Linked DNA regions of Lepisosteus oculatus. Each later gene encodes a partner of the first gene's protein in a complex. Links are inferred from orthologs where the notes say so. Each region holds a gene or a part of one and is shown on either strand. Other genes may lie near its edges.

Region 1 (7,888 bases):
ATTATTTCTACCTTAATGGCTTTATCTCAGTTCTTAGTGTTTTAAGTTGTATTATCTCAAATAAGCTTGATTTATAATCCTAAATGCATTATTTTTGTATAATGAAAAAAACGGAAGAAAAATAAATCTTTTTGTTATGACTCATTGTTTTGTGTATGGTTTTCATTTTATTATTTTAAATATGTGCTGCATGATTTATGAAGGAAATGAAAATGAAACTTAAATTTCAAAATGGTTTTTGGACACCATTTTATTTAAATGAATATCTCTATTTAATTCAGTTATGGTCCAACTATTTGATAGTGATACAATTTATATTCACCATGTGCATACAGTACCTTTCATTTAGAGCTTTGGAGCACATTTAGTAAATTGCTTTGTTTCCCAGTCCTTATTTTTTCTCTTTCCCAACATGCTGATGCTGATGCTGAAATATAAATATAATAAAATAATGTAAACAATAGAATCCACAGCCAAAACATTGCCTTTCCTTTCTTTTCTTTTCAGCATGGAATAAACCTTTTACTTGTTCCTAATATAGTTTACTTACTCATTGTAATGAAACAAATTGAAAGGCACAATTCAGAAGTATTATTGACATTTGATTTATTAAATGGCAATAATTTAATAAAATATATTTTTGCAGGTTTGTGGCTAATATATAAACGTAATACAGCATTTTTCCATACAATCCTGTGGGTGTACCCTACCTTTGCTTTGTTTCAGTCTAAACTGAAGAGACTTCTGCTATCTCTTTGACTTTAACCTGCTATTTTAGAACCATAGATATTTATCCTAGCCTTGCCCCTTCTGATCTTCATATAGCTATCCATCATACAGTATGTGTTTTCTTTATTGTGACCTCAATGCACATTCATAAGCACCCTGTAATGCCTGGTCTTTCAAGCATTTTGACCTTCTTTTATAAATATTGTAACATTCCATGTAGTTACATAGTATACACTGCACAGAAATGGAGAATTCCTCAACACCTGTACTTTCTATATGCCTTCCTTTTGTACTTGGGGAGACACCCGGTTCAATAAGATATTCTCAATACTGACCAGAATGTAACAGACTCACAAAGATCGGGAGAAAAGCTTTCACTTCTATCCTGAAATCTAATAACCATTAGATTATCTTAAGAGCTATCGACCCATCTCACTACTGTGAATCACATACAAATTTTGGGGTACTTCCTGAACACAACAGAAAATACAATGCATTCTATTTCTTAGAATACGAATGAACTGGACATTGTGATCAGAACCACTGGGATAACATCATTCCTATATATCCATCCATTTTTAGAAAATCACTTAATTCTGGTAAGTCAGAGCCTTAGTACTAAAGTAGTCTAAAGTCTGTTTAAAGCACACTGCTGCCCACTTTTCTGTCACTCTTCCTGTGCAACTGCAGCTAGCTGGAAAATGTTTGTCACTCACAGTTGTCTCATGTTGATTAAATGAAAGTGAAAGTTCTGTTGGTATCAAGACAGGAGAAAATAATGGTCACTATACGACTTTGACAGAGATTCCTTCAAATTATAACTCTATTAGTCTATGGTTTTGCAACATCCTGCTGAAAAATGGACACTTGCAGATTTGCATGCAGGAATAAATTATTTGTTGGCTTAACTTTGTATCATTGACACAAATCTTGTTTTACAGATTTCCTTCTATATCTTCACACTTCCATCATTATGCATTATCTTCTGTCAGATCTGTGAAGGGTTAAACAGAGTTAATCTGTGAACAAAACATCAGCACCTCCACTCTCTCTGCAGCCAACGCTGACATTCTTTGGTACACAGAAGATGACATTTTAATTTCTCAATGTACTACCCATGAATGGACAAGTAGACCGATTATTTTCGTGAATATGGAAAGCTACAATCATTCAGCTGATTCTTTATTTATTTCTTCCTGGAATATCTTCTGTATCCAATGCAGTCTGAAAAGTATTATGCAGGAGGATGAGATGAGTGTAATGGTTCTGGGTAGGTATGGTGACCCTGTTTTCCAGGACATGGTCTGTCTCTCACACGGCCGGTTCCCTGGTGTCTCTGGACTAGTCTGCTGGTTGAGTTGCTCTCAAAGACAGACTAATTCAGTTATTCTAATAGCATCCACACAGTCTTTACTGCCCAAGCAGGGTACACTTGTATATTTCATGTTATTTTTATTTTGATAATTAAAATCATACCTATTGAATAACTATTAATACAGTTTCTTCATCAACTCATTTCTAGTGTTTTTATAAAATCCCATGATCCATGCTCATAATTTATCCATGGAACAATAATGCTCATTCTATACACCTTTCCCATGTTCACACTGTTTTAAAAAATAATATTATGCAGTAGATGCAACCAGTTATTGATGTCGGCTATTGATATGAACATTAAGACTGCTATATGATTGACTGATTTTTATATACAGTAGTGCATGTTTTCAGCACAAAAATGTAATTGTCACCCAGGGAAATAAATAATACCATAATTGTTGCCTGACATGATGTGACTATCTAAGCAAAGTTGCAGAAATTTGCATTGTTTGACATTTTGGTTAACATCAGGCTGTCAAGGTCAACTTACTGTATATATTTTAAGGTATTCCGGAATCATAATGCTTATTGATTTAAAATGTGATAAACAAACTAAACTAAAAAAATAAAGTAAATGAATTTCTGCAGGTAACATTTTTTTTCTCTTAAAGTTAATTTAAGTAACATTGGCAAGTCATACTTAAGTACACCTTGTAATTTGATGTAGCCAAGCTTTGAAGTATAGTGTTGTGTGACAGAGTATTCCCAGAGTATGAGGACTAAAGGGGAGATCAATTTGATGAGAAAGTTTTTTAGTTGAGTGCCGGAAAAAAACACTGTGCCACAACATAAGGCAGGAACGGTAAATCAATTTACAGAATATTCCAGACAATGAAGCAGAAAAGTGTTATGGATAATCATGTCCTAACTTTCTTATTTTTTATATTTTAATCAACTGGCATGTACATACAGTAAAAAGGTCCTATGCACTATGTCTGGAAGGAGTGGGTACTGTCACCATACAAATATTTTGGCGGCAGCAGGTTGGTTAGCAGTAGAGTTGGTGTAACAGAACCTCATTCTGCCTCCTTTCGCTCTGACAGTCATGCTTCCTGTGCAGATCTCCTTTCCCCTGCAGTCAGAAAACAGACATGTCTGTTGCTCAGGGTCAGTAATATTGTGTTGCATACAACCGCAACAGAATGGTACACAAGCTAGCTCCTGCATTACTTTACAGAGATACTTCGGATTCTCTGCTGTCACTTAATCTGAGTTGCAGACTGTCCTGGCCCTTTGAAAGAGAGGATTCCACTGACTCCCACAGATCTGCGACCCATAGTGCATTGCAAAACTACTCACCTGTTGAACGAGGAACACCTTTCGGTGTTAGAGTGTGTACTGTATGCAGCCACAATGAATGATAATAATGAATAATTGCTTACACTTACATAGCGCTTTTCTGGCCACACCACTCAAAGCGCTTTACAGGTAATGGGGACTCCCCTCCACCACCACCAGTGTGCAGCCCCACCTGGATGATGCGACGGCAGCCATAGTGCACCAGAACACTCACCACACATCAGCTATTAGTGGGGAGGAGAGCAGAGTAATGAAGCCAATTCACAGATGGGGATTATTAGGAGGGCCATGATTGGTAAGGGCCAATGGGAAATTTGGCCAGGACACCGGGGTTACACCCCTAATCTTTTTGAGAAACACCATGGGATTTTTAATGACCACCGAGAGCCAGGACCTCGGTTTAACGTCTTGGCTCAACGACGGCGCCTTTTTATAGTGTAGTGTCCCTGTCACTATACAGGGGCATTAGGACCCACATAGACCACAGGGTAAGCGCCCCCTGCTGGCCCCACTAACACCTCTTCCAGCAGCAACCTTAGCTTTCCCAGGAGGTCTCCCATCCAGGTACTGACCAGGCTCACACCTGCTGAGCTTCAGTGGGTTGCAGGGAGATATGTCTATGACTAATTAGGATTCTCACCTAAAATTTCCCTTAATCCAGCCATCCAAAAAATACCAAGTTCTAACTGTTTCATCCAGTTCAGGGTCACAAGGGAGCAGGTGTCTTTTCTGACAAGCAATGGGTAAAAGGCAGGTATACATCTTGAACTGGACATCAGTCCAATTGCAGGGCACACATAGACAGACACAAACACACACCACTGGACTGTGGGAGGAAACCAGAACACGGAGTAAAACCCCACATGAACACGGGAAGAACATACAAACTCCACACAGATAGCACCTCAGGTCTGGAATTAAACCCAGGGCACCAGCACTGCAAAGAAGTAATGCTAACCACTTTGCCACTATGCCACCATTTCTCTTAATTTCTAAAGTATCTTTCTTCAAAGAGTTTTTTCTTTCTGTCTGTCTTCCCCCCCCCCCCACACACATTTTATTCCAACATGAGCTACTCAAACTCGATGCAGTATACAAACTTCAGCCCACAAACGTCTCTAACATACTCTCTCACCCCGGGGCAGTCTGCAATTCTGCATGCTCTTGCAACACCTACGTGGCGGATGACCAAATGCCTGAGCTCACTTCTAAGCTAGAGAGAGGGAGTTCAAGTTGACCAAGGAGTGCCCTTCTTTAATGCAGTAAAACACTCACACAATGCTTTCTGACATCCCACAGGGCTAGAATGGATTTAAAGTTGTATATGAGAGCCGAACGGGGTGACATCATACCTTTAAAATCCAAAGGCGGGGTTCCACTCACGCGTCAGCTTTGCAGAACACACACACTCAAAAAGCCCTGTTCACATTTGATATTTTACCAATTAAGGATTTTAAATAGGACGCAAAGGGGAGAGAGAGCGAGAGAGAGAGAGGGAGAGAGTTAACGAGAGGGTGTCACTTCTGTTCTCCCGTCTGTCGAGGAATACGAACTCATTTCCCCAAGAGAAGCACTTGGGGAGGGAAGAACATTTCGTGCTATAACACAGAGCAACTTTTAACGCAAACCTGAAAGAGATTGTTCGGTGTGCCTCCGGTCGCTGAACCAATCGAATACAAAGCTAAAAAGAGTAAGTTTTGCAGCTTTTAACCACATATTTAGTAGCGGGCTTGTCAACGTTGCGCTTTAATTTTAAATTCACATTTTGGGAACTGCTTGTCTTACGTCTTACAGCGGCTATCGTAAGTAACGGCGCATCACAAGTCTAATGATTAGCAATTCTTTTACGTTCTGCCATTGTCAGAAATCTGTTTATGAGTAATTATATGGGACTGATTGATAAATTGCCAAAACAATCAAATAGTTATATGGGTCAAAATGGAAGGGCTTATATTTTAAATTGTAGGGTCTTATTAATCTGGTGTTGTGATTTGTCGTTGTTTGTAAAGAGTAATTATTCCTTATTTGATTTTTATCTTTGGAGTTTTGGAAGCAGTTGATTTGTGAAAAGCTGATGCTTTGTGTGCAATCTTTGTTTTATGACGATTAAATGTGCTCATGAAAGCTAAATAGAAAAATGTCAGCTACAAATGACAGTGCGCTTATACAAATTTGCATGATATGGTGCATTGCCATATCAATTGCACCGTAGGTTGCAATATAGATGTATTAAAATATTCCATGTGCACAATTGTTTATCTGGTCGTAATGTCATTATTATTAGTTGCTGTTGAAGTGGAGTGCATTTACAGGTGTCTTGTATCCTCCGCGCATAACATGATTTTAATGCATCAGTCATGTAATCTAATTAAAATCTCTTCACCAAATAAGGGAAACTATGAAAAAGTTTATGTATCTGCTTCTGCTAATCGGGAATATTGGATGTTGACGGTGGCGCCCACTAGTGGTAACAACCGTTTTTCAACATGAAATCAAGGAATATTTTATAAAAAAGAATGAACGTTATACTTTGAATGTTTGTGGCTTTTTATTACCATTTCAGTCTTAATGTAGACTTTTGGCCGTTTTTGTTATATATTCCTGACTGTTTTATATTGTTTGTGTGTCAGATCGTTTCAGGCATGGTTAGTACACAAACTACACCCCCCATTCCTCTAGATTAAATTCTGTGCATTAGTGCACCATATGCAAGTAAGTATCAGTTATTTATCTTTTTTCAGAAAAAAAAAACTGCTCATAGTGTATGTTATTGAATTTTCCAGGGCGGACTGTGTGAATTGACTGTGTTGGTTGGTGCAATTTTTCCAGATGTTTAATAAGTAAATAAAGTTCTGTGGGGCAGTTTAAAAATAAAAAAAACAATAATTTGCATTAAATGAGTGATAAGAGTAGAGATATGATTTGAAGTTCGCAATATGAAACACGTCTATAAAATGTTTTCAGTTAATTGTAGGCTGACAACGGCTAGGTGCAGTGTAATTTGAAAACAACAGTGTCCAAGTTGCAGAGAACAGTATGTCAACATGAAACGATGGTTAATATAAAAGTTGTTAAAAGAACTCATCACGCCCATGCCATGCCAGCCACAGTTAGAACGAAACTACAGGATGAGATGTTTTGGTAAACTCAAATCAGTGTGTTTCATTTCTGTGAGCCGAAGACAGGATATGTATCGTTTCCTTGCGGTTGAAGCTGCAAAAACTGGGTCACTGACTGTTTGTGGGGTGTATTTTTAAAATTCTTAAGAAGAGCATTTGGTGAAAATTTCTGCAGAAGAAACGCGTACTGAAAATAAAAGGGTGTGGTCCGTGTGTCGAGAGAGGTAGCGCGATGCAGAAAACTGCAGCGCCATAGCTATAACACGGTTACAGGTCGAGACGTGTGATATCGCTCAACATTACTGATATGCCCCATATTTTTCTACAGTACTGTGCTTCCGTTGGCTATGTCATGGCAGCACACATCACTCTTAAACTCCTGACACATTAGCTAGTAGTTATTATATACTTGCTATGGTAGAAATAAAAAAAAATCATGTTTGTGATAGAAACTATCACGGTATACCTACTGTACGCGTTTTTATGTCGGCTAGTAAGTGATACAATAAAAAAGATGTTAGATGCTATTCGGTCAACAGTTGTGTTTCAGTATAGATCTGATAGTAGCAAACTCTTCCGCGACTGTTGTTTGCTGAATTATGCCATAACGTGTTGTTGAACTACATTAACGTACGTCACAGTTCTGCGTACTTAATATACCGGTACCAACGATAAATCCATACTATTGTAATGATACATACCATTAAATTATTGGTTTAATTGGAATTTGCCCAGGGATATTGAATACGTTTCCTGCGCAACAAGACTTTCCTAATACTCGCGTTAAGTATGGGTGTAGAAATCCGCATAATGGTTTTGCCAGATATTTAAATTCGGGGGATACAGGATGTTGGGAAATCACATTCAGAGAAAATGCAATATCACTGCGGAATTCTGTGCAGGATTAGGCAGTTGTTTGAACGGGACTGCTCATATTCTCTTTCAACACTGTGGTAGAATGTCCTGAGACATAAAGACGAATAGCCCGCAGTGTGATCTGACGTAGAGTTTGGCTGTTGTCAAGGCGACAGGACTTCCGGAGTATTTGCAAAACTGGACAATGCACAGTGAAAATTATTAGCTTTAGTATTTGTTATAGGATGCCTTCAAAAGAACAACACAGTTAAACGAGACTAATTTGGAGCGCTGCCCCGAGAAACACAAGTTTGTAACAAAATATTATCCGAAGATTTGAGCCAATACAGCACCATCTGTTGCTGAAGTTGCTGTCAAGCCTCCAGGCGTCTTTTTTAAAAGAATTCCCGAGTGTCGGATTCATCAATAAGTCTCTGGGAACTTAGTTCCAGATCACTACTAGCTTCTCCTTGTAAAGAAATGCCCCTTGTTACATTCCTTCCATCTCA
Region 2 (7,110 bases), on another chromosome or scaffold:
GGATAAGATCCTCAGCTCAATTAACCAGCAAGTGGCCTCAGATTCGTAACCTTTGTAACAGCATGAAATATTTAAAACTTTTTAAAGTGGATTTCAATGCCAGTTACACGATCAAGGTGTACAACGACATTCTTCATTGCTTGTAATGACCACATAGTTCAATTCAATTCAGTGGATTTTTATTTAGCGCCTTTCACAACAAGGTTGCCCCAGGGCCCTTAACAAAGCAATTGACCTTACATGTTGTGAATACAGAACAGAAAAGACCAGAAGACAACGGAGGAGAGGAGCCAAAAACTCCTCAGTAAGGAGCCAGGCGCTCACTTCACCCGGGGCTCTGCATCTGATCCCCGCATCGTGCGAGCACAGGACCTGGTTGTGCCCGGCTCCGTCATGTTTTTAACTTCCTGCTCCTGTCCTTGTTCCCCCAGCCGGTCCCGACCCAGCACCTGATTTTAATCTCCTGTTTGGACAGATTTCTCAGCCTTGGACCTTTTGCTTTCGTTTTTGGATTCCCTCTTTTGGATTTATTCTTAGACTGTTCGCCTCGACCACACCTCCCCGGATCACCAGCACCGTATGGACACGCCCCCCTGTTTTCATCCCTGTTCCTGCATGACTAGTGCATTCCTTCCTCACTATTCTGGATCGTGTCGTCCACATAGGGTCCGGATAGAACTGTTCGTTACACATCTGTTGAAAGGATGAGTGAGGTCAGATACCCCCCAAACCAAACAGCTTCTGAAAATGGCTCCAGCAAAGGCTTGGCAAAGCATCTCAACAGAACAACCCAAGAACCTGGCGATGTCGCCTGGGTCACACGCTTGATGCAGTTATTGTGTCCAAAAGATCAGCAACCAAACAATCACGTTTTATACTACTTTACGTTAATTTCTCCCTATACCTATGTTCACTTAAAATGGGGGGATAAAACACAAAAAGTGGTGTTCTTCTGAACCTGCACGCCATATAAGCACAGAAATATCCAGAAATGAAAGGCGACATTCTGTACTTTTGCATCAAATTCATCTTTTCATCTCAAATACAAATTTCTTGAATATATAGCAAAAATAGAAATGATTATGTCATCCATCCATTTTCCAACCTCTTTATCTAATTCAGGGTCCATCGGACACCAGTCCATCACAGAACACACACAGACACACTCACACCAGGGCCAGTTTTCCCAGAAGCCAATTAAGCTGCCTGCATGTCTTTGAACTGTGGGAGGAAACTGGAGCACCTGGAGGAAACCCATATAAACCATGGGAGAACATGCGGACTCCACCCAGACAGCACCCCAGGACTGGAATTGTAACCCAGGGCCCGAGTGCTGTGAGGCAGCAATGCTGACCCCTGTGCCACCCTGCAGCGGTGCGAAAGAAGCTGAAAACGTTTGCTGAAGGATGAGGCTGGAAGCAAGAGAAGAGCCTCCTTCACCTGATACATTGGCGCCTCCGAAATGTCAGCGAAGCTGCGGCACAAACATCCATCGAAACCCCAAAAGAGCACGCACTGCATCAAAACACGTCCGCAGCCGCCCAACTGCAACTCCAGAGAGCACGCAGCGAGATTCATGGTCAAAACCTATTTCAACGCAGTGTGGTAAAAACACAAAGTCTGGCAAAATCGCTTGGGTTGATACGCCCCTCGGATCCACAGCGCGACCCAGCTCCGGTTTGAATTAGCACCTCGCATCTCACGTTTGGAGCATCAGTTAAGCTAAAGTTTCTCGCAACAGTTGTTTTTTCATCATTATTATTTGTATCCTGTCCCTCTCGCCTTTGAAGTCCACACCCTTGCAGGGCTAGACCCCCGCTTCTCCTGTCTGTCGAACCGCAGAGGCGCGCCTGACTGCTCGGCGAGAACCAGCGGCCACCAACCTCCAGCTCCGCGATCAAAACACGAACAACAACACGTGTAAACCGCAACACCTGAAGCCTCCACACACCTCCCTTCCTTTCCCACTTTCCTGCAGCCCGTTTCACTACCTGCGCAGCAACACGGTGCATCGCGGGCGCCATTTAAAGCTCTTAACACAGAAATCACGACAGATCTTGGCGGGCATCAAGTTAATTCCGTTGAACTGAGATGCCAGATTTGCGCTCAGCCCCTTTTGGCCTTTCATTCGGGGCTGTACCGAATAGACTGCCGAAGCAAAGAGAATTTCACAGGACGAAACATTTAAAATCACACCAATTATATACGGAATTTTTTTTTACCAGGCCACGACAGTTGTGTTCATCAGTTCGTCCTAGTTTTGCATTTCTGTGGCGCTTACAACGCGGGACTGAGACATTATTCACGGTTCCAGACCTCTCGGCGTCACCCACAGTACGAGCTGCGCTCAGCAGGGAGCTCCAGTAACTTCTGAAACAGCTTTCTGTCCCGTCGGGCGAATCGGGGGTACGTTTCGTGGAGCAAAAATAAACGTATAAATGTTCGAATTAGGTCTTCAAACACCCCCGTGAAAGTGTGGTCCTAATTAACCTGGAAATCTGGCTCTTCGGGGCCGGGGGTGGTTCGTGATAAGAACTGCGTAAGGACACAACATAATGAACCTTTACATTCTTAAAAACTGAACCGATACCGAGGGGTGATGTACTGTAGCACCAGGGAACACATGAGGATAAAAACCCGGACCAGAAAGTTTCCGTCTTGTGTGTCGCATGTAGCTACAGAAAGAAATGGATTTTGTTTTTTTGTGTATCGGAAAATACGTGAATCAAACAAAACCAATCATCTTCACACCATCACATCTAAGACACAGAAATGCTCCAACTGCCTCGTCTCTCTCAGGCTTTTCCAATAAGAAACTCGGAAACTTCTCAACTGGGCAGGAGCTGTAACAGAAAAGCACCACACCGTAAATCCTGACGAATACCTGCACTGAACACCCGGCCACGACACCAACGCGATGCGAAAGCAAGTTTCGTAGATGTTTTTTGTCATCTTTACTCACGATAACCGTGGTGTTTTGCCCGTCACCCTCCGTCCGCCGGTCCGCGCGAGGCGAGATCTGCAGGTCTGTGAAGGGCTGGGCACGCGCAGCTTCACGCGCCTGCAGGAGTAGCTCGAGCGGTTTCTGACACGTGCCCCAATAGACAGGCGCTCGAGCTCGCAGCTCCAGGGAGCGTCGACAGTTGCCGCTGAAGTTAGCTTTTTAGTTATGAAACATGAATATATTTCTATTATCCTGAAAAATCTGGAGTTTAAAACCTAGACTTGTGGGGTGAATAACGGTGATATAGGATATAACCCAATACACTGTACTGTATATTTGAAATGAAATTGAGATTTTACCACAAAAACCTTTCGGTTCTCGTATTCTAAAACGTCATAAAAATTCTTATTCATTCTGTACCACAATTGCTACACTTTGCTTAGATGCACCTGGTAGTGCCGTTTCGGTGATAATCAAGTAAATTTTTGTCCTCGTTCGGCCATGACTCGATGAAGGAAGTTATTCTTGAGAGTTGAGGATCTGAGGGGATGTCTCTGAGGAGGGTTAATCTCGTGAAACAGACACCCTTTTATAAACATTAGTTATATATGTATAAGATAAGATTTAATTGTCCCCTGAGGGAATTGTTTTATGGACACACAGCACTCCTGTACATTTAAATAGAATGCAAACCAAAAAGAAGAAAGGAAAAACATTGCACATTATTCTATTACAAAAAAATAAGAAAAACATTGCACATCACTCTATTGCACACGTATAACACGTAACAACATGTAACATTTATAACACCTCACAAAACATATTGCGCTCAAGTGGGTTGTAAGAGTCAAAATTGTGTTTATCCTTAACATTTGCGTCGACAGCTTTAATGGAGAGTGGAACAAAGGAATGTTTGTATCTGACTTACATTTGGGAACCCTAAAACGTTTGTCAGCAGGAAGAAGTTGATATTCAGAGTTGAGGATGTGGGAAGGATCTGATATAATTTTTCCTGCCTGTTTGATTATGGATCTTTCAACGATTGTCTACAGGGAGGGGTGCTGTTTCACTCCCACGACCTTCAAAGCTGTGTGGATGAGGCGGGTAATTTGCAATGTTTAAATAAACTGATAGATTACCAAACTATTAGCATGGTAAAAGAGTAGCATTACTTCCTGTCGAACCCCAAACGCTCTCCAGAAATTTAAGCGCTGCTGAATTGATGAGCAAACACTCTCAACATGAGTAGACCAGCACAGGTTACGGTCTATGTGTACACCTAAGTACTTATACTTTATGAATCAACCTGAGTGATAAATTCGTTGTGGATTACTACATGGGAGTGGTCATCAACTGCTCTGGGATCAAAAACAGTTTACAGTCGCAGTCCACTGCCCAGTTTCTCCAGGAGTGTGACTTGACCATGACGCTGAACTCCGAGGCGCCGGGAGTCGAGCTGGATTGTTCTTTCCTTAGCAGGCGCCTCTATTCCAATGCATTACACTTAAACATTCACAGTACGTGAGGACAGGGTTGAGCTCAGCCGTACACTTACGGTAAGACTAGAGTGAATAAAGACGAGATCAATTTCGATCGGCAGAATGAAGTGTGTTGTAGAATGATTCGGAGTCATCACTGTTCAAAACAGACTACAATCCAAATAAAGACTAATTCTTCCGCCATCAATTCAGATCTGACTACAGAGGGGGTACAAAGCTCTCATTTCCTAAATCGGTCCAGACTTGGCCTCCAAGTCTGTCTCCGCCGCCTGCGGACTCAAAACAAGGCGTTGTCTCCATCTAGCGACAGGATACTGTCACTGCACGACTCCTGCTTCTCGTACCGGAGAACGGCCGCCTACGGAGAGAGGCTCCAACTCCGTTATTCCTGATTGTAGTTTCTTTTTTGGGGGCGAGTGCGTTGTTGTTTTCACTTGATTTCATTAGCGGCGTTTTACGGAACGTTATACTTGGGAGTACCCGTGCACAGGCAATAGCTGTGTAGCTCAAACTCGAAGCAGGAAATGCTAAAAACAGGAACTCGTGCTCGTCCGCTGAGAAAGACGCGCGAGTTCCTGCTACTGGGAGCCTGGCGGAGGAGCGCGTGGCCCCAGCCTGTCACGGGCTGAGGTCAGGCGGGGCGGAAGGACTGAGGCAATAATAAAAACAGATTAAAGACAATTCGTGACCTCAAGCCCCCGTTTTACAACATAGAGAGTGCAAATTGCTGCAACCACCGATACTTCGCTGAAGTTGTGCAATTAACCACAGACGGGCAAGAGCCTTTTTGAAATTCATTTAATTATTAAATAAATTATTAAAGTTAATTCAAAAGCACGGGTAAAAGATTGGTCTGAGTCACATCGAATGCACCATTGTTGAAAGGTACTGACTGATACCTGGCTGATAGCTGGAATGGAAACAGAACAGTGACAAGGGCTCTTGAGTCGAGAATGGTTCTGTGTTCAGAGCCCGGGAGGGCCCAGGAGACAGTAAAATACCCAGCCGTAGAGACGGTTGTCCAGATCAGCACTGTACACGCAAGTCTGCTTTTTGATAGACATATCGGCTTAAATAATGTAACAGATAAAAGAAACAAGTGAAATAGAATGAAAGAAACCCCTCGATGTGATTCATAGGGCAATTCTAGAACTCTTAATTCTGGAATTCGAACATTGAAACCACCCCAAAAACACCTTCTCGATGGCACTCTCAATTAGTTATATGACTACACCTGTCCTACTAAGACCAATACAGACAGTATTGACAGACTACAAGCATACCGGACTAGAAGTTCCTTTGCTACTCAGCTGTTGAAACAGATTAATGTGATACGAATTAGACGGACACAGGTTGTGATGCAGCCACTTTGAAATGGAGTGCTATTAGCTGGATGTTTCCTATCGGCTGACGTGTTGATCCTGTCTCATTATACTGTGCATGTTAATTGGCTGAGGAAGCAGAACTGATGTAAAAGGAAAGCAGTTGGAGATCAGGAGCTGGAACCGACTGCAAGCTTTCTGAGAATTACCCTTCACTCCGGAGTGCATCCGAGCACACCCAAGCACATCCGAGTTGATGCGAACTTCCACAGGCCGTCTGAAATGTAGCGAATGAGAACCACAGTTCTGTCGTCTCTGGGCATCCTCCCTTCACAAGCCTGCGCCCTGCGGGCTTCTCCCGGCAGTGGGGACATCCCGGGCAGGAGCGAGTGGTCAGCCCCTGCCTCGTGTGCAGCCCTTTCCCGCCGCGCATTGCCAGAGCCACTCGGCGTCGCCCGGGTCTCTCTCGAGCGACGCCCGCCGTGGGGTTTGGGCAGCAGGGGAAACCCTCAGAAGCCCAGCCTTCCTGACCAAAGACAGGAGTTGCAGGAGGAGAAGGGAAACTGGTGCAGTTCGGGTTCAGCTCCGCTCCAGGGGGAGGGTCCCCTCATCTTCTGGGTTTGTCCCCCCCAGTTACAGAACCGGTCTAATCATACAATTGTAACACTTCACATGTAAGAAGTGTTACAGTTTTTTTTAATTTCCTAAACCAAACCAACCTAGTTTTGGAGCTGGGTTAGCTGTACTTGTAATTGTAACGAATACGGCCTTGCGTATCACAGGGATCTCAGCGGCCCGGGCTGAGGGAGGTCTCCTTTAGCTCAGCTGGCAAGTTCCCCATAGCGTGACGCCAGAGACCCGGGTTCGCACCCTGGCAGTGAGGGATGAACGGCAGGGCAGGAGCGGCGAGGGCAGAAACACCAAGAACGTCACAAAATGAAGTGAAAGTTTAGGGTTACCAAATGTAAAAAGCCCTAGGAAACCTCCTATACGTGTCAAAGTGAGAAGATCTTCAGGTTCGTCGTTTAATATCTCAAGAACAAAAGCGAAAGACACTGGGCGTTCCTCAGAGAGCTCAACTGGCCCAGCAGCTGGCAGTTTAAGGGTGTTAACACTGGTGCTCAACCTGGGCCCTGGAGGAGCCCTGTGCGTCTCCCGGTCTTCAGTCCAGGGGTCTCGAAGAAATGTAGCAACTAGAGCTCCACCCTTCCTTGGTTATTAAGCGTGTGCCATCTGATTTCCATCCAAGCAACTTCTAAGAGGTGCCGAAGTGCCGGTGGGAATCAGACACTTGCATAGCACGACCCTTTGATCCGAAGAGCTCCACTTACCTCCAGAGCACACA

Evidence for each region. The genes of interacting proteins can lie anywhere in the genome.
Region 2: the proteins of flna (region 1) and itgb7 are in contact, whole or in part, in a crystal structure (PDB 2BRQ), measured with the Homo sapiens proteins. The link is inferred for Lepisosteus oculatus from reciprocal best matches to the Homo sapiens genes FLNA and ITGB7. Residues at the interface, in NP_001104026.1 of Homo sapiens: Thr2263, Gly2267, Ala2268, Gly2269, Gly2270, Leu2271, Ala2272, Ile2273, Ala2274, Val2275, Glu2276, Gly2277, Pro2278, Ser2279, Lys2280, Ala2281, Ile2283, Phe2285, Phe2311; in NP_000880.1 of Homo sapiens: Pro776, Leu777, Tyr778, Lys779, Ser780, Ala781, Ile782, Thr783, Thr784, Thr785, Ile786, Asn787, Pro788.

Annotation. Positions count from the first base shown.
Region 1 is NC_090697.1:66,962,126-66,970,013, reverse strand, and holds the start of flna (filamin-A), read left to right. Parts: upstream 1-4,857; 5' UTR 4,858-5,095; intron 5,096-7,888. UniProt on the Homo sapiens protein: Promotes orthogonal branching of actin filaments and links actin filaments to membrane glycoproteins. Anchors various transmembrane proteins to the actin cytoskeleton and serves as a scaffold for a wide range of cytoplasmic signaling proteins.
Region 2 is NC_090696.1:20,659,683-20,666,792, forward strand, and holds the start of itgb7 (integrin beta-7), read right to left. Parts: upstream 3,086-7,110; 5' UTR 2,963-3,085; intron 1-2,962. UniProt on the Homo sapiens protein: Integrin ITGA4/ITGB7 (alpha-4/beta-7) (Peyer patches-specific homing receptor LPAM-1) is an adhesion molecule that mediates lymphocyte migration and homing to gut-associated lymphoid tissue (GALT).